2 linked regions of the Caenorhabditis elegans genome follow. The protein of the gene in region 1 purifies or fractionates together with the protein of each later gene. This does not show direct contact. Each region holds a gene or a part of one and is shown on either strand. Other genes may lie near its edges. The genes, in order: ppm-2 and pph-4.1.

Evidence for each region.
Region 2: the proteins of ppm-2 (region 1) and pph-4.1 fractionate together in Caenorhabditis elegans (co-fractionation; one large-scale study listed by BioGRID). This does not show direct contact.

What each region holds. Positions count from the first base shown.
Region 1 is NC_003281.10:4,646,736-4,656,242, forward strand, and holds ppm-2 (putative protein phosphatase 2C T23F11.1), read left to right. Parts: upstream 1-3,758; 5' UTR 3,759-3,762; coding exon 3,763-3,865; intron 3,866-4,187; coding exon 4,188-4,478; intron 4,479-5,029; coding exon 5,030-5,254; intron 5,255-5,302; coding exon 5,303-5,448; intron 5,449-5,498; coding exon 5,499-5,573; intron 5,574-5,951; coding exon 5,952-6,035; intron 6,036-6,248; coding exon 6,249-6,318; intron 6,319-6,372; coding exon 6,373-6,449; 3' UTR 6,450-7,151; downstream 7,152-9,507. Other genes in the region: dbd-10 (DB domain-containing protein), read right to left, coding at 294-500, 729-884, 1,027-1,101; T23F11.2 (Major sperm protein), read right to left, coding at 7,621-7,901, 7,951-8,423, 8,660-8,667.
Region 2 is NC_003281.10:12,343,153-12,354,780, reverse strand, and holds pph-4.1 (Serine/threonine-protein phosphatase 4 catalytic subunit 1), read left to right. Parts: upstream 1-3,444; 5' UTR 3,445-3,450; coding exon 3,451-3,551; intron 3,552-3,606; coding exon 3,607-3,730; intron 3,731-3,788; coding exon 3,789-3,914; intron 3,915-3,989; coding exon 3,990-4,268; intron 4,269-6,159; coding exon 6,160-6,401; intron 6,402-9,086; coding exon 9,087-9,216; 3' UTR 9,217-9,458; downstream 9,459-11,628. Other genes in the region: FAM172 family protein homolog Y75B8A.31, read right to left, coding at 1-36, 203-337, 984-1,112, 2,452-2,571, 2,625-2,888, 2,957-3,133; zip-1 (BZIP domain-containing protein), read right to left, coding at 9,786-10,073, 11,089-11,412. UniProt on the Caenorhabditis elegans protein: Protein phosphatase which plays an essential role in meiosis and in early embryonic mitosis.

The sequences.
Region 1 (9,507 bases):
GAAAAAACTAAAGTTTTTAAATAAATTGAATATGTTAGTCAACAATTGTTAATTTGCTGAATAATTGTTAAATTAATTTTCTAAATATCCAAATTTTGGCAAACAAAATTGGCAACTGTGAAAAGGAAATTTCAACAATGTTTCCGACAAATTATTAAAGAACTTTGCAGTTTCAGATAACTTTACAGCTGTACAGAAAACCTTCAAAAATTTTATCTTGAATTATCGAGATAAATTTGTGCGAGTTTCTTGAATCAACTTTTCTATTGAAATAAATACATTTTCGAACGTGCCTGTTCACAGCATTCTGTGTGATCCATATTCATAGATGCACAAAAATGAATAGTTCTAAGTGATGAACTTGGACATCTTCTGGGCTCCGCGAGCAGTCGAAAGATGGAAGATTCATTATAAGTCTCAAATGAGCAGAATCCCATGCATCTCTCCGGAAGTAAATTATCCACACAACATTGTTCCATTTTTAACGAGTACTCGGATTCCTGAATTTTGAAGTGGGATTATTTAATTTTCATGAGATTTTTTTTTGAATATTTTTGAAGAAAAAATCTTGAAGAAGTTGGATTTTTTGAAATTATTCAAAAGCAGATTATTGCCAAAGTTAAACAATAGAGAAACAACAAAACTCCGTAAATTCCGAAAAATATTTTAAATACATATTTCAAAACAGAATTTTCTCATAGTTTCAATAAAACTAGAAAAGAACCTACCTCTTCATTCACATATTTAGTTTTACTTGCCAATGCTCTTCCACCAACACATCTATTCAATCGGCAGATATATCCATTTTGGCAGCTGTTTCTTGTTAGGCATTCTCTATGAATTACTGGTGGTGGAAGATTCAAACTATCAAGACTTGGAGGACACTGAACAAATAAGACTTTTTTAATTTAGTGAACTTTTATAGGAGTCGCGTTGATAAATGAGAAAAAATTCAAAAATATTTTAAAAAATTCAAAACAATTCTATCCCGCTTCATACAGAATATCTTTAAAAAAGAAAACTTACAGCATAGCTTAACGTGATCAAAAGAATAAAACGAGAATAAATCGAAAGAACTAAAGTATTACCAGACACTTTCATTTTAGAATCCAAAACTGTGAAGAATATAATTTATACGAAAGACATGAGAAATCCTGAACAAATAACTGCTAAAGAATAATAAAAAGAAGCGGGACACAAACAAAGAATTATGAAAATAAGAATGGTTATTGTTATATGAATCACTAAATATTTGGGAAAAATCGAAAGTTTTGGAAATCGAGAGTTACGAAATTGCTCGTCATAACCGGAAATGAGACGTCAATTATGTTCATGTGAGGACTGATAACATCAACTCTCACAATGAGACATCCTTTCTGTTGCATTTCTGGAACTTTGTTAAAGAATGATGTTGTAAATGTTTTCTAAAATTGTCATTTTTTACAGTTATTTCAAAACATGATCCACGCTTTGATGGTTATTTATATTGCTTGTGTCTCTATTTGCAAATTGCTAAAATATTTTTTTTGAAAATTTAGATATGTGATTTTATAATTGAAGTTTAAAGGAGGAATAACGCTAGTGCAAAATGCCAAAATACTACAAAATAAAAACAAAACAACTGTATCTAGTTTGATGGAAATTGCTAATTTTGGCACATTTTCAATTGTGATAGATGTTCTCGTTTGAATAATGTTATATATTCGAGGCCGAACAAGGAGGCGAAGACGAGTAGTTTATTATTACATAACTAAGGAATGAATAGAAAGTTAGTATACATAGATAATGAGTTCACGTTACACGATCTTCATATCCACGTTGAGGGTTAGGTACACGTAGATACCCAACAAATTACATTTTTCAAAATTTCGTCTAGTCTCCAATTTTCAAAAAAAAAGGTATCATTTCTGTGTAAACATTTATTTCATGTCTTAAATTCAACAAAAATAATTTTCACTTGAAAATTTGAGCCAAAATGGAGAAACTTCAAGTGCGGCACCAAAAAAATGGGCGAGGGTAAATATTAATGATAACTGTGAATTGACCAAAATTGGAGATTTTTCTAACCTCTGATAATATTTTGCTCTGTCATCTCATTTGGGAGGTTTATCATGAAGTCCCAATTGACCGTATTCCACCTTTAAACTAAGCTTGCTCAGTTTTCAAATTTTCTTTCATCCAGAAACCTGATGTGCGTCATTAGTAGCATGTTTGGCAACCGTAATTTCCAAACCACTATTCTTGATAATAATTTGAATGTAAGAAACCATCATCACACAGATTGCAGTGACATTTATTACACAATCTGTGCGATAGTTTGAAAATTGGTCTTTATAGGTTTTGTGTCTCAGATACATCGTTCCTATCTCAATGTTTCATATATCGCTTTGTTCCTTAAGTACATTTATTTCTAAATTGTTGAACATTTTACATGATAAATTCCATAAAGCAACATAAAACAATCACGTCATTTCTAGATTTTTATTGACAAGTACACTGGAACTAGCATATATTATTGAAAATACTTGTTGTTGCTATTTTAAAATTTTGAATTTCAACAATTTTAACAACAACGATACCTTTGTAGTCTTCTGATCACTCTCCCCCAATGATAACCTGGTCAACGTGATAAACTGCCTTGATTTTTCATACGTCGATTAGAGCGCAACTGCATCGGGTTGTTCCCGCACATGAGGGGGTTTCCCCGCACAGCGCCATGTGATTTTCCGTGGTCACAGAAGAAACGGAATGTCTGTGCCTCTCACCTTCACACACTCTCACTACCTATTGATTTTCGCCTGGCAGCCTAGTGTCCGTTTGTCGGTCTTTTCTCTCGTCACTTTTTGTGTCTCGGTATCAATGTTTGTTTCGATGCGACGCGGGGACGTCCAACGACGCAACGAAGAAGAACCGAAACTTGGTGTCACATTTTTATTTCCCGGCCGACCGCCGTTTTTTTCCTGCTAGCACGTGGTCTTGAGACGAAAACTTTTATCGGTTAGAATACAATAAAATCACTGTGCTTGTCTTGCCGTTTTATTTTTTCAACTTTTCTTTATTTGCTGTGAGGGTTAATAGTCGCGGCGGCGGCGGCGGCGGGCATTTTGGATACAACATTTTTGAAAATTGGGAATCATTTTTGAAATTATCGAAATTTAAATTTGGGAACATCATGTAGTTGTTTCGCAATTTTTCTTCGGAAATAAACTTCCCAAAAGAAAATATGAGCAAGTGATTTAGAAAACCAGGCCTGATACTTTAAATAAACTCCTTGTAGATCTTTCGTCGTGAGACCCACTCGCTAACCACGTTGCGCCTTTAGTACAGTACTACTATTCTTTTTCAATTTTTATTCAAAATTATGCAAATTTCATCATCGATTTTGAACTTTGCTCCGTTAAATTTGTGATAATACAATTTTTCGAACAATTCAAAAAATTTATCAGTAACTTCTTTTTTGTTGGAAAATAGACTATCGAAAAATTCCATAATTTTCTTCTGTCTCTCGGAAACGCTTTCCATTTTATCTTTTGATCACGTGACACACGTTCTATCAGTCTTTCCTTATTGAAGAACAGGTAGCATTGAAATTGTGATAACCTTACGCCCCCTTCGATCATTTTTCGTTCAAATATTTTCGCATTTTTTTCGTCTTTTCATCTCTTTCCCATTTTTCTATCGTTCAAACATCATAATTTTCCCGCTGAAAGTACTGTTTAGTGCACTTAGACTGAAATAAAATAAAAATCAATTTTCAGAAGTATGGGACAAACACTCAGTGAGCCAGTTACTAAAAAAGAGTCGGCGTCATGCGCCAATGAGAATTATTTGGTCGGTAGCAGTTGTATGCAGGGATGGAGAGTTGGTAAGAAAGTTATCAGAGCAAAAATGTGATAAAATAAATTAGGATATTTAGGAATTTAGGATATTGTTAAGCGTTTACTTCCATTTTAAACGTTTGTAATCAAGAAATAACATAGCGAAATTAATTTGTTTTAATGTTTAGTCTAAATTAAAAAAAAAAATCAGCGAATATTAGTCCCTTTCTCTTCAGACAGAACTCCTTAGCTCATTTTCATCATTTTCATCATTTTTAGGTACTTAGCGACTTGAAAATCCATTAGCTTCACTATCTTCAAAAATGATAATTAGTTCAATAAATTGTTCTAAATGTTCTTTTTTTTCAGACATGGAAGATGCCCATACACATCTCCTTTCTCTTCCTGATGATCCAAAATGTGCATTCTTTGCTGTCTACGATGGACACGGTGGATCGAAAGTTTCACAATATTCCGGAATTAATCTTCACAAAAAAGTCGTCGCACAGAAGGAATTTTCCGAGGGAAATATGAAAGAAGCAATCGAAAAAGGATTCCTAGAATTGGATCAACAGATGAGAGTTGATGAAGAGACAAAGGATGATGTTAGTGGAACGACAGCAGTTGTTGTATTGATAAAGGAGGGAGATGTTTATTGTGGTAAGAGACACGGATTTGCACTTTGACCTTGAAACGTCAATGGAAGGAAATTGAGGAAATGTTAAAGACACTGAGTATTTTTCAAAAAAATCACAATACTAAGACTAACAGTTTTCAGTAAAAATCGATAAAAAATTAACTTCCAAGCTTCGAATTTTGCAGTATTAGAATTCATATTGTTCGAAATTTTATTAGATTTTGAACTTTCACGGTATTACAAAAGTTATCTTTAAAAAAGGAGAAAAATTATTGGTACAGAAAATAAAAACACATTTCCATATTTTTTCAAAAATTTTAATTTTTGATTACGCACACATTTGTGATAACTGTGTATCATAAAGTTGTAAAAATCGTACGCTGATTTTTTAATACTTCTGAGTGGGTCCCACCACGATCTCAGCCACAGTAATCCCTACAAGCTTCAAACTTCACAGATTTGTTTATGTGACATAGAAAAAAACGTTGAAATTAAATATTTATTTAAACTGTATAGGGAAGACCAGGATTTAATATTTTTAAATGTCAATTTTTAATTTTTCTCCATTTTTCAGGAAACGCCGGTGACTCTCGTGCAGTATCCTCAGTTGTTGGAGAAGCTCGTCCACTTTCATTCGATCACAAGCCATCTCATGAAACCGAAGCTCGACGTATCATTGCCGCCGGTGGATGGGTTGAGTTCAATCGTGTCAATGGTAATTTGGCACTTTCCCGTGCTCTCGGAGATTTTGCATTCAAAAATTGTGACACAAAGCCTGCTGAGGAGCAAATTGTCACTGGTGAGAATAATTTGAAATTAAAAATTAAAAAAAGTTCTTTAATTTCAGCATTCCCGGATGTGATCACTGACAAGCTGACACCGGATCACGAGTTTATTGTTCTTGCATGTGATGGTATTTGGGATGTAATGACAAATCAGGAAGTCGTAGATTTTGTTCGTGAGAAGCTTGCTGAGAAGAGGGATCCACAATCGGTAAGTTGATTAAAATAAAGTAAATATCTCGTATTCTCTCTCATTTTCAGATTTGCGAAGAGCTTCTCACTCGGTGCTTGGCTCCAGATTGTCAGATGGGTGGTCTCGGATGCGATAATATGACTGTAAGTTTGATTTTTTCAAAAATAAATTTTTAAACACTTTATCAGCTTTATTTTATGTTTTGAAATATAAATATACAGTAAATTCAAACTTCGAAATTTTCATAAGTTTTCGTTAAAACTTTTAATGAGAAACTAAACTGGAACAAAAAAATTTGAAACACTTAAATTTTAACAAATTGTAAGATAATCAATAAAAATCTTTGAAGATTCCAAATCAGCCAAATTTAAAAAAAAACTACAGTAATTTGCAAGATCTTTAGACTATGGTAGTTGAAATCGTGGTGAGACCTACTAAGAAAAACGGCATGTGACTTTAAATTAAAATGTTGAATTTTAACGAAATATACACATTTAAAAAATTTAATATTTATTTTTCAGGTTGTTCTCGTGGGACTTCTTCATGGACAATCCCCAGATACACTTTTCACGAAATGTGCCCGCCCAGCGGTATTTACGGGTGTTGTGAGTTTTTTTTTGAAAATTATTTCTGCTTCTTCCTCTTTTTTTCATTTTTTCAGTAGTTAGTATCACATAAATTTATAGAATTAAACTAGTTTCTCAAAAAGAACACCTTTTTAGAATAGTTGTGCTTCTTCTTCTAAATACTAACCAAATGAATGAATATCTGTGTAAATCAGAAATTCGACGAACAAAACGATGTGTTTCTTTTTGAAGAATAACGAGGATGGAGATCAAAATCAAATTCAGCAAGATATTTCGCGTGTGATAAACAACTTTGATGGAGGTTTTAGTTGAAAAAGCTTCGCGAATTCTCAAAAATTAAATATTCAAATTTCAGAACAACGGGTAAACGCTGCGAATCAAGAAGAAGAGGAGGATGACAATGAACCAGCGCCAGCCAACTTCCAAGTTTAGAAAATTCGCAAAATTTCGGAGTAATATTTGGTGTGTAAATATCGAATATTAAATAACACGATTTCCCCCTGTGATAGTGCTGAATTTACTTTTTTATCTTGCATTGCTTTTGGTTTTTTATATTGCTCAATTATCATGTTTCACAAAAAATTTTCTTCACAAAACAAAAACCACCCAAAATTTAATATTCCTTATAGAGCACGTTAACAATATAATTTTTCTTGCTTTTTATAGCATTTTACTTTCTTTGTTCTTCCCCCATTCTTCATTCACAGATTTTCCGGTTGAAATACCTTTCGAATAATTTCAAAAAAATTTAAATGCCAAAATCTCTCTAGAATTGTAATGAATTGATTGCAGTGAGTTATCTGGAAAAAATTCAGGAATTTCACTACATGAAAAGTTGTCCTCTATTGTTCATCCCGCCAACTTTTGCATATCCCTTTTTCAAATTTTATTTTTTGTCTTATTCCTACTCTCCCATTTTTAATATGATTTTTTATCAGCCGTCCACTTTCCATGACGCGTCTTTGTTTCCCAAGCATTGAAAGTGTGAGATGACTCGTTTTATACTGAAATACTCGAAATATTAGTGCTTCAATGTGTATTAGACAATTGTATTTTCTTCTTTTTGTCTCTTTTCACATTTTTTTGTTCTTCCCATTGATTTTATGATTATGATTAAAAAAATTTATGATTGAATGTTATTCAATTTTTCCTACAAAATAAAAAAGGCAATAACTTTCGACGGTGCAATTGGAAGAAACATGGAAGATCTGAAAATAGGTTATTTTGTGTGATTGCAAAACATTGTAAGACAATGTATGGAAATTTTCGTAAAAATGAAGATCTGGGAGCTACAGTATTATTTTAAAGGCGCACACCTTTCTGTAGGCGCTTCGAAAATTGTTAAGTTACATTCACCGTACCACTGAACTTACCAAACACCGTGTGACTTCATTTAGTTTTTCAAGACAGTTATCAGAAGCCTCATTCCTCCTTGAAATTCCAAGAAAGGCGACGTAATGATCTCCAAAAATGGAAGAGGCATAATTGTCTCTTTAACATTACATGTTTCAGCTTATAGTTAGTGCAAGCTACTGAAAATATTCAAGAAACCCGACCAAGTCAATTTCATTAAATCATACAAAAGTGCCATTCACAGTTCAATCTAAGCTTGAATAGTTGATCCACCACACGGAGTTGCTTCAAGGCACACATTGACATCACTTTTGTTCTTTTTATTAGCCTGAATACGGCAAGCCTTTGAGCTCTTTGCAGAATGATTCGACGAACGGCTTGATCTACGAGAAGATCTCATTGACTGCTTCTCCGGTTGCTTTTCAGTTCCACAGATGTAGTTGGAAAACCAGCATCCTTTGTTCAATTGACGACGTTTGTACTCCTCAACAAATCCCATCATTGAACCAATTGGAACAGCAGTGGAGACATCTGAAATCGAAAGATTTTAATTAGTTTGAACCAAAGCATCAATCTGTACCTCTTTCGATGTTGACTGCAGTTGTAGTGTCCAATTCTTCCACGTCAACCGGATAATCAGTCGACTCGATACACGTGGCATATCCTGGCAAGTTGATGACTGTCTGGGGAGCCGAGAACTGATCCGTGAACTTGACAGACAATGAGAATGCCTCTTGCTCCTTAGTTCCTGCAGTTTTCTTCTGATCAATGAACTGCTTGAGGCTCTTCGCATAGATCGGCAACACGTATCCTTTGATCAAAAGATTCATCTTGTCCCATTGGGAGAGCTTTGATGAGTTCACACGGAACTGGATGGCACGATGAGCCAATGGTGGAAAACGGAAAACTTCCGTTGGGAAGGTGACGGCTTCATTCGTAGCATGCAACTTCAGCAGGAAGTCCTTGCCAGTGGTGTTGCGGAACACAAAGTTCCGTTGAACGATCTCGCGGCCAGTGGAGATGTGCAATTCCGTTGGGTTTGACTTCTTTTGACTGAAATTTTGAAATTTTAGAATTTATAGTTCATTTGCAATGAGCACAGAATGCATCAGTGGGCACAATAAACCCGAACCATCGAAGACAGGGCACAATGCCTAAATTACGAAAACGATAATTCGTAAGGGGCACATTCTGCCTGATTTCGTTGGCGTGCCTCCATAATGTCAATTCTATGAGGTTCTTGATGAACACATCAGGAATTAACTGCGTTGGTAAAAATCTTAACTCACCAGGGCATCTTATTAGTTGATGAGCAGAAGAACGGGCGGTCCGAGTTGCTTTTCAAGTTTCGAAAATCGAGAATAATTGATTTGCATATTGATTGATTGTCTGATAACAAATCGACGACATTGACCTTTGTTAGTGTTTTAAAAGTTAGTTTTTTTTAACGTGAAATTTTTTTTCTGTTTTATGGAGAAGTTGTTTATTTTTTGTATTACACGGATTTTTGCACCAGAAATACGGTACTCGGCCTCGACACGAAAAATTTTTTTGACATGCGTCCATATAATACAATTTCTCTGAACTGCCGTTCATTGTTTTTAGGTCAACTTGTATAATGTTGGCATACCAACTCAATACACCATATTCCACGAGCAAATTTAGTTTGCGTTGGCGTCGTCATTACTATTCCGAAAGAAAGAAAGAGTTTGACTCTTCGTCCAGTCCAATTGTTTCAGGGAATTGTAAAGTGCAACTAATTAGGGGTACTTTGCATTTTGCTCCAGCAACACGAAACATGTTCTACACGTGCAGAACACCCTATGACGCATACATAAAACACATTACAATCTGCAGACGTTTTTTCAAGTTTTGAGCTTTTTCTCTCTATATAAATACTCTATACATTATTCTCGTAAGCATATTTTTGTGCAGATTGGAATGAAAACTTCATTTAATTCAATTAAAAGCTCAACATATAATTATCGCCAAGTGTCGAAACGTTGTTTTCTTTGTCTCTAAACTATAGTAGCCAGTCTCGACACGACAAATTTTGGTTAAGTTACAAAGATCAAAGAACCATTTTTACCAGAACGGTGTTTTTTAAATAAAACATATTTCCACAACTAATTTTCAA
Region 2 (11,628 bases), 7.7 Mb from region 1:
CTCTTCCATAACTTCCGCGTAATTGGAGGGGGTCATCTGAAAAAATTAGAGTATGTAATGTCTCTACTAATTATTTTTTGCGTATCTGTGGCGTGGTTTTGTACTACACTCGGACAAGTTTGAGCATATTTTTGGCCAAAAAATTCGAACTTGTCCTCGTGTAGTACAAAATTCCGTGCCACAGGATTGCATAATAACGCACTTCAGTCTCCAAAATATGAAAAACTGCATCAATTGCACAATGACTGGACCACTCGTGTATCTGTGTGCCGGCCCACAGCTCGGCGACGTTCCCCTCACGATATTCACGAACTTTGTATGATGGAGAGTTCAAAGCCTGGAAAATTAAATTTTATTATTATTAGAATTGTTACCGTATTTCCTCTATTAGTCTTGCAGCCTCTATTAGTCTTGCACCCCTATTAGTCTTGCACCCCTACGGACCAATCGAAAATTAGTCTTGCAGCCTCTATTAGTATTGCATGCAAGACTAATAGAGGAAATACGGTAATAGTCTTGCACCCCTATTCTTGCCAGACCAGCAGTATTTTGTCAAAACTTCAACAATTTTGCCAGTTTTTAGCTAAATTAAATTTTAAAGTGTTCAAATAATAGATAAAATAATATAAATATATATATATATTGTACGATTTTGACTGTTTCATGTCTAATTTTTGACGATGAATGGTAAATTTTACAAAGCTATTGGATCTTCGAAAATTAGTCTTGCAGCCTCTAATAGTCTTGCACCCCTACGGGTCAATTGAAAATTAGTCTTGCATGCAAGACTAATAGAGGAAATACGGTATATTATTGAAACGTGAAAACGCGCTCCACGGATAATAAGAAACGCTCCACCCACGAACCATGGGTCTCGTTAGGTTTTTGGTCGAAAAACCGGTCTGAATTCCCGATTTTTCCGCCAAATTCTTAACGAGACTTCAATTGCCCGTGGAGCGCGTTTTCTGCGTCCTTATAACTACCCCGTGAGCCAAGAAATTGACGACAAACAATGGACGTGCCCGTTGTGCACAACTTTTCGGAAATTCGAACCATGGAGAATCAGTGAGACAGATTTTCGAAATACGATCGTCTCCGCCAAACTTTTTGAGCTGAAATTTAATGAAATTATATGATTTTGGCGGGTCTCGACGCGACAAATTTTTGTTAAATAGAAAAATGTGTGCGCCTTTAAAGAGTACTGTAATTTAATTTTTCACACGATTTTTTTTCGAATAAAAATGCATTTTTAACTATTTTCCGCTGTTTTTAAATTTGAAAACAGATTTCAGGACTTTTTTCGGCAAAAAAAAAGCGAAAAAACGGGGTTTTTAAGGCAAAATTCCATGTTTTCCTCAATTTTGGGTCTCGAAGCGACAAATTTTTGTTGAATACAAAAAAGTGTGCGCCTTTAAAGAGTACTGTAGTTTTAAATTTTAGTTTCTGTGAAATTTATCGATTTTTCGTAGTTTTTCTAAATAAAAATATTTTTTAATCGAAAAAATTTAAAAAAAATCGCGAAAACTAAATTAAAAAAATTTTTTTCGATTTTTTTTCAAAAGATTAAAAAATATTTTTATTTAGAAAAACTACGAAAACTCGATAAATTTCACAGAAACAAAAATTAGAAATTACAGTAATCTTTAAAGGCGCATACCTTTTTTTCTTATTCCTTGAACACAATTTTGTCGTGGCGAGACCTGAAACAGGGGTTTTTGCCTTAAAAAATCGCGAAAATGTCGATTTTTCGCCAAAAAAAGCTGAAAATAGTTTAAAATCCCATTTTTATTCAAAAAATTCAGAAAAACAGGGATTTTCGCCTTAAAAATCCGGAAATATGTCGTTTTTTCGCTTTTTTTGCCAAAAAAAAAGCTGAAAATATATTAAAATTGCATTTTCCTTTAAAAAAATCAGAAAAACAGGGATTTTTGCCTTAAAAAATCGGAGAAAAGTCGTTTTTTCGCTCTTTTTTAGCCAAAAAAAAGCTGAAAACAGTTTAAATCCCATTTTTATTCAAAAATTCAAAAAAACAGGGTTTTTTTGCCTTAAAAAATCAAAAAAAAAGTCGATTTTTTCACTCTTTTTTGCCAAAAAAAAAGTGCTGAAAACAGTTTAAAATCGCATTTTTATCCAAAAACTCAGAAAAACAGGGTTTTATGGCTTAAAAATTCGGAAAAAGTCAATTTTTTCGTTCATTTTTAGCCAAAAAAAAGCTGAAAACAGTTTAAAATCGCATTTTTATTCAAAAATTCAGAAAAACAGGGATTTTCGCCTTAAAAATCCGGAAATATGTCGTTTTTTCGCTCTTTTTTGCCAAAAAAAAAGCTGAAAATAGATTAAAATTGCATTTTCCTTTAAAAAATTCAGAAAAACAGGGATTTTCGCCTTGAAAAATCGGAAAAACATCGATTTTTTCGCTTTTTTTTGCCAAAAAAGTGCTGAAAATCCCACCACACTGGCTGTGTCGTAACCACCACGACTGTGAGCCACCACGTAGATGCTCTTAGCATTCGATGGCTCAATACACGCTATCCAGACAGTTTCAGCGTGCTCGACAGGTGTGCGGGAGTACTGAAAATCGATTTTTCAGCGAATTTTTCGAAATTTCCCGGGTTTTTTCACACCTTCAAATCCTGATCTTTACTTTCATTCAAATTAGTGTTCATCACCACAACACCCCATCCATTTTCAATAGCTCTTTCGATATACGGAATCTGAGTTCCACACTCCAAATTATCATTGATAATGAGTCTACGAGCCCATTGTCCGGCTCTGACGACACCGCTTCCGTGGATCAATACTAGAAGATTTGCAGCTTTTTTGAAATTTTTCGACACAAAAATGAAGCTTAGATCCTCATCCTCGTCGGTTTTTCCTGGAAGTTTTAGCTGAAAAAAAATTTTTTTTTTTGATTTTTAAATTTTTTTTTCCATTTTTTAAAAATTTCTTAATTTACCGCCTTTCTCTTCAGCCCACAACGTGTCTCCAGAAGCTCATAAACTTCCAGATCAACTGCTTCTCCCAGTTCTTCATAATCCTCCTGTGTAGTGAATTTGAAGGGTTTTTTGTCCTTCTCCGTTTTCAGCACGCCTTTTTCGTCGAAAAAGTACCCGAGTTTCGCCAAACTTGACATTGTTCACTGAAATTTATTTGAATTATTCGCAAAAAAACTGGTTAGAACAGAGAAAATTTCCGAAAAAACAATTTTTAAAATTAAAAAAAAAAAAAAATTTCCTGGCCGCGACCGAGGTTTCTCTCGTCCACACGGCGCAATCGCGCTCTGTTGGCAATCTGGCACAATGCCAATATTACACTGAATTTATATTTTTGCACGAAAAACTCTGGATTTAAAGTCGATTTCGCCTGTTTTCATTGGTTTTTTTCGTTTTTTCGTTTTTAAATTAAATATTAATTCAAAAAATCGATTTACAACGTATTTTACAGCTTTTAATGGCTCTGGCGTGCACCGACTCTGCAAATTCCACATTTTCACGTGTCGACTCACCGACTTCCGGCCCATCGGACCAGCTAACAACTCATGACTTGGATCGGTAGCAGTTTTGATATAAAAACAATAAAATATCAACAAAAAAAAAATATTTTCAGCCACATAGAAAAGCTGATGAGATGTGAGCTCATCGCGGAGCAAGATGTCAAAACACTTTGCGCAAAAGCTCGTGAAATCCTAGCGGAAGAGGGCAACGTCCAGGTTATCGATTCTCCGGTGACGGTTGGTTGGATAAAATCGATTTTTAAATCAAAATTTCCATTTTAAATTCTATTTCCAGATCTGCGGAGACATCCACGGCCAGTTCTACGATTTAATGGAGCTCTTCAAAGTCGGCGGACCAGTGCCGAACACCAACTATTTGTTCCTCGGAGATTTCGTGGATCGAGGCTTCTATTCTGTGGAGGTGCCCCCGCTTTTTTGCAATTTTCCTGGCGAAAAAATTGCAAAAAAAACTCCCAAAAAATCGATATTTTTCCAGACATTCCTTCTACTTCTCGCACTGAAAGCTCGCTATCCGGATCGAATGATGTTGATCCGTGGAAATCACGAAAGTCGCCAGATTACTCAAGTCTACGGGTTCTATGATGAATGCCTTCGGAAATATGGAAATGCGTCTGTTTGGAAACATTGTACCGAAGTTTTCGACTACTTATCACTTGCCGCTGTAATTGATGGGAAGGTTTTCTGTGTTCATGGTGGATTATCCCCGTCGATTAGTACTATGGATCAGATTCGTGTTATTGATCGGAAGCAGGAGGTAAAACGCAAAAAATATGCTGTTTTTAATGGAATTTTGCTTTGAATTTCGGTTAAAATTCGGTGAATTACAATTTTTTAAATTTCCGGCATTTTGCCGAATTTGCCGGAAAGTTTTAAAATTTTCGAAAATGAAAATAACCGACAAATCTGCAAATTGCCGGAATTTAAAAATTTCCGGCAAATCAGCAAACCGGCAAATTTGCCCAAAATGAAAATAACCGGCAAATCGACAAATTGCCGGAATTAAAAATTTCTGGCAAATCGACAAACTGCCGTAATGAAACTTTCTGGCAAATCGACAAATTGCCGAAAATGAAAATAACCGGCAAATCGACAAATTGCCGGAATTAAAATTTTCTGGCAAATCGGCAAATGTTCGAATTAAAAAATTTGTGGCAAATTGGCGAAATTGAAAATTTCCGGCAAATCGAAAAATTGCCGGAATTAAAAAATTCCGGCAAATCGGCAAATTGCCGTAATTAAAAATTTCTGGCAAATCGGAAAATTGCCATGTTTAAAAATTTTCGGCAAATCGGAAAATTGCCGAAATTGAAAATTTCCGGCAATTCGTCAAATTGCCGGAATTTAAAAATTTCCGGCAAGTCGGAAATTTGCCGAATTCGCCGGAAAAACGGCAAATTGCCGGAATTAAAAATTTCCGGCAAATCGGCAAATTGCTGGAATTGATAATTTCCGGCAAATCGGCAAATTGCTGGAATTGATAATTTCCGGCAAATCGGCAAATTGCCGGAATTTAAAAATTTCCGGCAAGTCGGAAATTTGCCGAATTCGCCGGAAAAACGGCAAATTGCCGGAATTAAAAATTTCCGGCAAATCGACAAACTGCCGAAAATGAAAATTTCTGGCAAATCGGCAAATTGCTGGAATTGATAATTTCCGGCAAATTTCCGGAATTAAGATTTTCTGGCAAATCGGCAATTTGTCGATCATGAAAATAACCGTCAAATCGACAAATTTCCGGAATTAAAATTTTCTGGCAAATCGGCAAATTGCCGAAAATGAAAATAACCAGAAAATCGGCAAATTTCCGAAAATTTCCGTTTAAAAAAAAATTTCCGTTTTTTTCATTAAAAATTTTTTTTTTTAATTTTCAGACTTTTTTCTAATTTTTTCTCATCAAAATCGACCAATTTAATTTTTATTTCATTTATTTCGATTTTTTCCCCGAAAAATACTAAAAAATTCAAAAAATAGTCTCAAAATCAGAAAAAAACCACAAAAACGCGATTTTTGTCTTCAACCAATCAGCGATTCGCTCCGCCCACTTTTCAACCAATCAGATGGAGTGGGCGGAGTTTGAGTTCTCATTTTGGAGGGAATTCAAAATTGAAAAATCTTTTTATTTTTCTGAATTTGATACTATTTCGGATATTTTGAAGCGAAATTTCAAAATTTACGTTAAATTTTTCGAGAAATCACTTTTTTCCAGCGGGGCGAAGGTTTTGCAAGTCTGCGGTTTGCTATATTTCGATTTACGGAGAATTTTGTAATACACACGGACAAGCGTCGATTAATTTTTTAATTTTTTCTAATAGTAAATTTACAGTTTTGGGCCATTTTTGCCAATTTTTTTTGGTGTTCAACATTAAAAATTGGGTCCATATATATATATTTTTTGAATAGTGTTTACAAAAAAAATTACAGAACTGAAGAACAATTCGAAAAAAAAAAAAAAACGCTTATCCACGTGTAGCACAAACTCCACCGTAAATCGACAGAAATCAAACCGCGCCGCAGGTTTGCAAAACCACCGTTCCGCCTCAAAAATTGAAAAAAAAATCAATTTTTTAATCAAATTTTGTTCGTTTTGATAGAAAAACGTATAAATTTGTGCTAAAAAAGCGAAAAAAAATTCTGAAAATTTCCAGGTTCCCCACGACGGTCCAATGTGTGATCTACTGTGGTCGGACCCCGAAGAAGGAAATGTTGGATGGGGCCTAAGTCCACGCGGAGCCGGTTATCTATTCGGAGCGGACGCGTCGAAAACGTTTTGCGAAACGAACGGAGTCGATTTGATCTGTAGAGCTCATCAATTGGTTATGGAAGGATATAAATGGCATTTCAACGAGAAAGTGCTCACTGTTTGGTCGGCGCCCAACTATTGTTATCGGTACGGGATGGATTTGGAAAAAAAACGGAAATTTTTTTTTCGTGAAAAAGACGAAAAATTAAAATTTTTGGTCACTTTTTTATCATTTAAAGTATAATTTTTAGGAAAAAATACAATTTTTTTCTGAAAATTTGAATTTTCCCGCTAAAATTTGTTTCCAAAAAATTTAAATTTTCCCGCCAAAATTTGATTCCAAAAAAATTCAAATTTTCCGGCCAAAATTTGTTTCCAAAAAATTTGAATTTTCCCGCCAAAATTTGTTTCCAAAAAATTTGAATTTTCCCGCCAAAATTTGTTTCCAAAAAATTTGAATTTTCCGGCCAAAATTTGTTTCCAAAAAATTTGAATTTTCCCGTCAAAATATGTTTTTAAAAGAAAATTTAAATTTTCCCGCCAAAATTTGTTTCCAGAAAATTTGAATTTTCCCGCCAAAATTTGTTTCCAAAAAATTTAAATTTTCCCGCCAAAATTTGTTTCCAAAAAATTTGAATTTTCCCGCCAAAATTTGTTTCCAAAAAATTTGAATTTTCCGGCCAAAATTTGTTTCCAAAAAATTTGAATTTTCCCGTCAAAATATGTTTTTAAAAGAAAATTTAAATTTTCCCGCCAAAATTTGTTTCCAGAAAATTTGAATTTTCCCGCCAAAATTTGTTTCCAGAAAATTTAAATTTTCCCGCCAAAATTTGTTTCCAGAAAATTTGAATTTTCCCGCCAAAATTTGATTCCAGAAAATTTGAATTTTCCCGCCAAAATTTGTTTCCAAAAAATTTGAATTTTCCCGCCAAAATTTGTTTCCAAAAAATTTGAATTTTCCCGCCAAAATTTGTTTCCAAAAAATTTGAATTTTCCCGCCAAAATTTGTTTCCAAAAAATTTGAATTTTCCCGCCAAAATTTGTTTCCAAAAAAATTTACACTTCCCGCCAAAATTTGTTTCCAAAAAATTTGAATTTTCCCGTCAAAATATGTTTTTAAAAGAAAATTTAAATTTTCCCGCCAAAATTTGTTTCCAGAAAATTTGAATTTTCCCGCCAAAATTTGTTTCCAAAAAATTTGAATTTTCCCGCCAAAATTTGTTTCCAAAAAATTTGAATTTTCCCGTCAAAATATGTTTTTAAAAGAAAATTTAAATTTTCCCGCCAAAATTTGTTTCCAAAAAATTCAAATTTTCCCGCCAAAATTTGTTTCCAAAAAATTTGAATTTTCCGGCCAAAATTTGTTTCCAAAAAATTTGAATTTTCCCGTCAAAATATGTTTTTAAAAGAAAATTTAAATTTTCCCGCCAAAATTTGTTTCCAGAAAATTTGAATTTTCCCGCCAAAATTTGTTTCCAAAAAATTTGAATTTTCCCGTCAAAATATGTTTTTAAAAGAAAATTTAAATTTTCCCGCCAAAATTTGTTTCCAAAAAATTTAAATTTTCCCGCCAAAATTTGTTTCCAGAAAATTTGAATTTTCCCGCCAAAATTTGTTTCCAAAAAATTTGAATTTTCCCGCCAAAATTTGTTTCCAAAAAATTTGAATTTTCCCGTCAAAATATGTTTTTAAAAGAAAATTTAAATTTTCCCGCCAAAATTTGTTTCCAGAAAATTTGAATTTTCCCGCCAAAATTTGATTCCAGAAAATTTGAATTTTCCCGCCAAAATTTGTTTCCAGAAAATTTGAATTTTCCCGCCAAAATTTGTTTCCAAAAAATTTGAATTTTCCCGCCAAAATTTGTTTCCAAAAAATTTGAATTTTCCCGTCAAAATATGTTTTTAAAAGAAAATTTAAATTTTCCCGCCAAAATTTGTTTCCAAAAAATTCAAATTTTCCGGCCAAAATTTGTTTCCAAAAAATTTGAATTTTCCCGCCAAAATTTGTTTCCAAAAAATTTGAATTTTCCGGCCAAAATTTGTTTCCAAAAAATTTGAATTTTCCCGTCAAAATATGTTTTTAAAAGAAAATTTAAATTTTCCCGCCAAAATTTGTTTCCAGAAAATTTGAATTTTCCCGCCAAAATTTGATTCCAGAAAATTTGAATTTTCCCGCCAAAATTTGTTTCCAAAAAATTTGAATTTTCCCGCCAAAATTTGTTTCCAAAAAATTTGAATTTTCCCGCCAAAATTTGTTTCCAAAAAATTTGAATTTTCCCGCCAAAATTTGTTTCCAAAAAAATTTAAACTTCCCGCCAAAATTTGTTTCCAAAAAATTTGAATTTTCCCGTCAAAATATGTTTTTAAAAGAAAATTTAAATTTTCCCGCCAAAATTTGTTTCCAGAAAATTTGAATTTTCCCGCCAAAATTTGATTCCAGAAAATTTGAATTTTCCCGCCAAAATTTGTTTCCAAAAAATTTGAATTTTCCCGCCAAACTTTGTTCCCAAAAAATTTGAATTTTCCCGCCAAAATTTGTTTCCAAAAAATTTAAATTTTCCCGCCAAAATTTGTTTCCAGAAAATTTAAAATTTTCCCGCCAAAATCACGTAGTGCCAGAGTGTCCCATTTCGGTTTGATCTACAAAAATGCGGGAGAAGTGACGCACTGATTTTGCATGATTAAGAACGTGTTGACGTCACATTTTTTGGACAAAAAAATCCCGCATTTTTTGTAGATCAAACCCAAAAATTTGTTTCAAAAGAAAAATTGAATTTCCCGGAAAACTTGAGCTTTTTTTGCAGTAAAAAAAAACTTAATGAAAATTTTCCAGATGCGGCAACGTGGCGGCAATTCTCGAGCTCGACGAGAATCTCAACAAGGAATTCACAATTTTCGAAGCTGCTCCACAAGAAAATCGCGGAGCACCGGCCAAAAAACCGCACGCCGACTATTTCCTCTAATTTTTTCTCGAAATTTTCTCGAAATTTCTTTCTCGCCCAAAAATTCCGAAGAATCTCCCCCTTTTATATCGCCGAAACACCATTTTTTTCCTTTTTTTTTTGCTCCCACAAAAATATTTCAATATTTAATTATTATTTTCCACACACACACACACATTTTTCTGTAAATGTCCACCCCCCTCCAAATTTTACGGATTTATTTTTTTTTCGACAAAAAAAAGTATTAAAATTTATTTCATGCTATTCATTTTTAAAACCGATTTGATTTGAAACAAAAAAAAACAATTAACCGTATTTGGGGAGTGAGAAATGGGAAAAAAATAAAACATGAAAATGGAATTTTTCACAGAAAAAATCGAAGTAAAATACAATTGATTGGATAAAATGGGAAAGCTGCGACCAATCAGGTGGAGTGGGCGGAGTGGGCGGAGTTCAAAGTCGCTGATTGGTCGGTGAGAAATTGAGAAAAAAATGGATTTTTGAAGCTTTAAATATAACATTTTGGATAAAAATAACTAGTTTTCAAAGATTTTTTAATTTTTTAATATTTTTTTCGCTCAAAAAATCCTTCAGCTTGGCTCAAATTGCTGGAAATTCTCATCAAAAGCCTGCTGCTCGGCAAGCTTGGCACCATCCATGTATCGGTTCAGTTCTCTTGTGATTTGATTGAGTACCACTTTAATCGCATTCGCCTCCCTCAGCTCAACCTCCTCCTTTTTGAGATTCAACTGATGGTCGGCGATCTCGAAAGCCGTCTTCGCACGGGATTTTTTCGAAGCAAACGTATTTTGAGGTAGTCCTGCGATTTTTTTGACACTCGTGTATTGTCCGTAGTCCTGTTCGGTTTTGTTGAAGGCCTGAAAATGTTGAGAATTGGGGAAAAAATTTGATTTTTCACAAAAAAAAAATTTTTTTAAAGTTTTTTTGCCAGTTTTTCTTATGTTTTTTATCACGGATTTCTGGTTTCCCTCCATAAATTGAAATGGAAGAGTTTTTGCCGAATTAGGCCAGGCCATATCTGGGGTAGATTTACGGCGCGCGTTGCGTGTCGCGTCGCGGCTCGATTGTAAAACTAAATGTATTTGTCCGTGTGGAGTACACGTTGTCCGGCGGGGGTGATTGTCAATGGAGCGCGAAAAAATCAATGAGGAAGGCCAGAAGCCCGTGAAAAAGAAAAAATTTAAAAAAAAACTATATTTGATAGTGTTTTTGGATTTTTTGTTTAGTTTAAATTTTTACTTTTTTTTTGTTGCTATTTTGCCAGTTTTTCTTATGTTTTTTATTATCAAAAATCGATAAAAATTGGATTGTTTTGTTTTTTTTACATTTTTTTCGATTTTTCAAAAAAAAAAAGCCTTAAAATTTTGGCAATTTTTCATATTTTTAGAAAAAAAAACTGATTTTTTTGTAAATTTTCAAACCATTGTTTTCCGATTTCATCTATCCCCACACGGGCCCTTTCTGGCCTTCCTCATTGGATTTTTTTTCGCGCTCCATTGATAATCGCCTGCCGGACTCCACACGGACAAATACATTTAGTTTTACAATCGAGCCACGACGCGACACGCAACGCGCCGTAAATCTACCCCAGATATGGCCTGGCCTAGTTCGGCAAAAAACTCTTTCATTTCAATTCATGAGGAAAGCCAGAAATCAGAAATCGTGAAAAATGAAAAATAAAAAATAAAGTATTTTTTAATTTTTTATTTTTTCAAAAATTGATAAAAATTGGATTTTTTAAGAAATTTTTTTTTCGATTTTTTTAGAAAAAAATTTATTTTTTTGTTCATTTTTTTCCAATTTTTTCCAATTTTATCAATTTCACAACCGCTCCGCGCGCCCGCGCGGTCATGGCCGTGGCCGATGTTTTACCTCTTCCAACTGCACCACTTCTCCATTATTGTCATATTGAACTTGCTCGACAGCCTCGGCTTTCGATCCTTGCAATTGATCGTAAAACAGCTCCAGGCTTCCATATGGGAAGTTATTCCCCTGTACTGCGAAAATATTAGTCTCGTAGGCCGCCAATAGGCCATTCTCTTGCATCTCATTCTGACGCTTGGCTTCTTGAACTTTTTCTCTGAGCATTTCCAGCGTCTGCTTGAGCTCTTCCTTGCTATTGTTGCGATTTTTTACGCAATTCTTGGCATTTGCACGATTTTGCTCTTTTTTGCGCTCCAGCTTCTCCTTTTCTGTCTGAAATTATTTAATTTATTACCATTATTAATTCCAAAAAAATTTGAAAATTCGTCGTTTCATCAATTTTCCAGCGTTATTATTTTCCGAGAAACAAAAGTTTTTTGAAAATTTGCAGAAAGTACCGTCGCCGCACAGAAAAAGAGGCGGAGCCTAATTTTGCAACCCTGCGGCACGGGTTTTTTTTGTTGATTTTTAAAATTTTTTCTGTTTAAC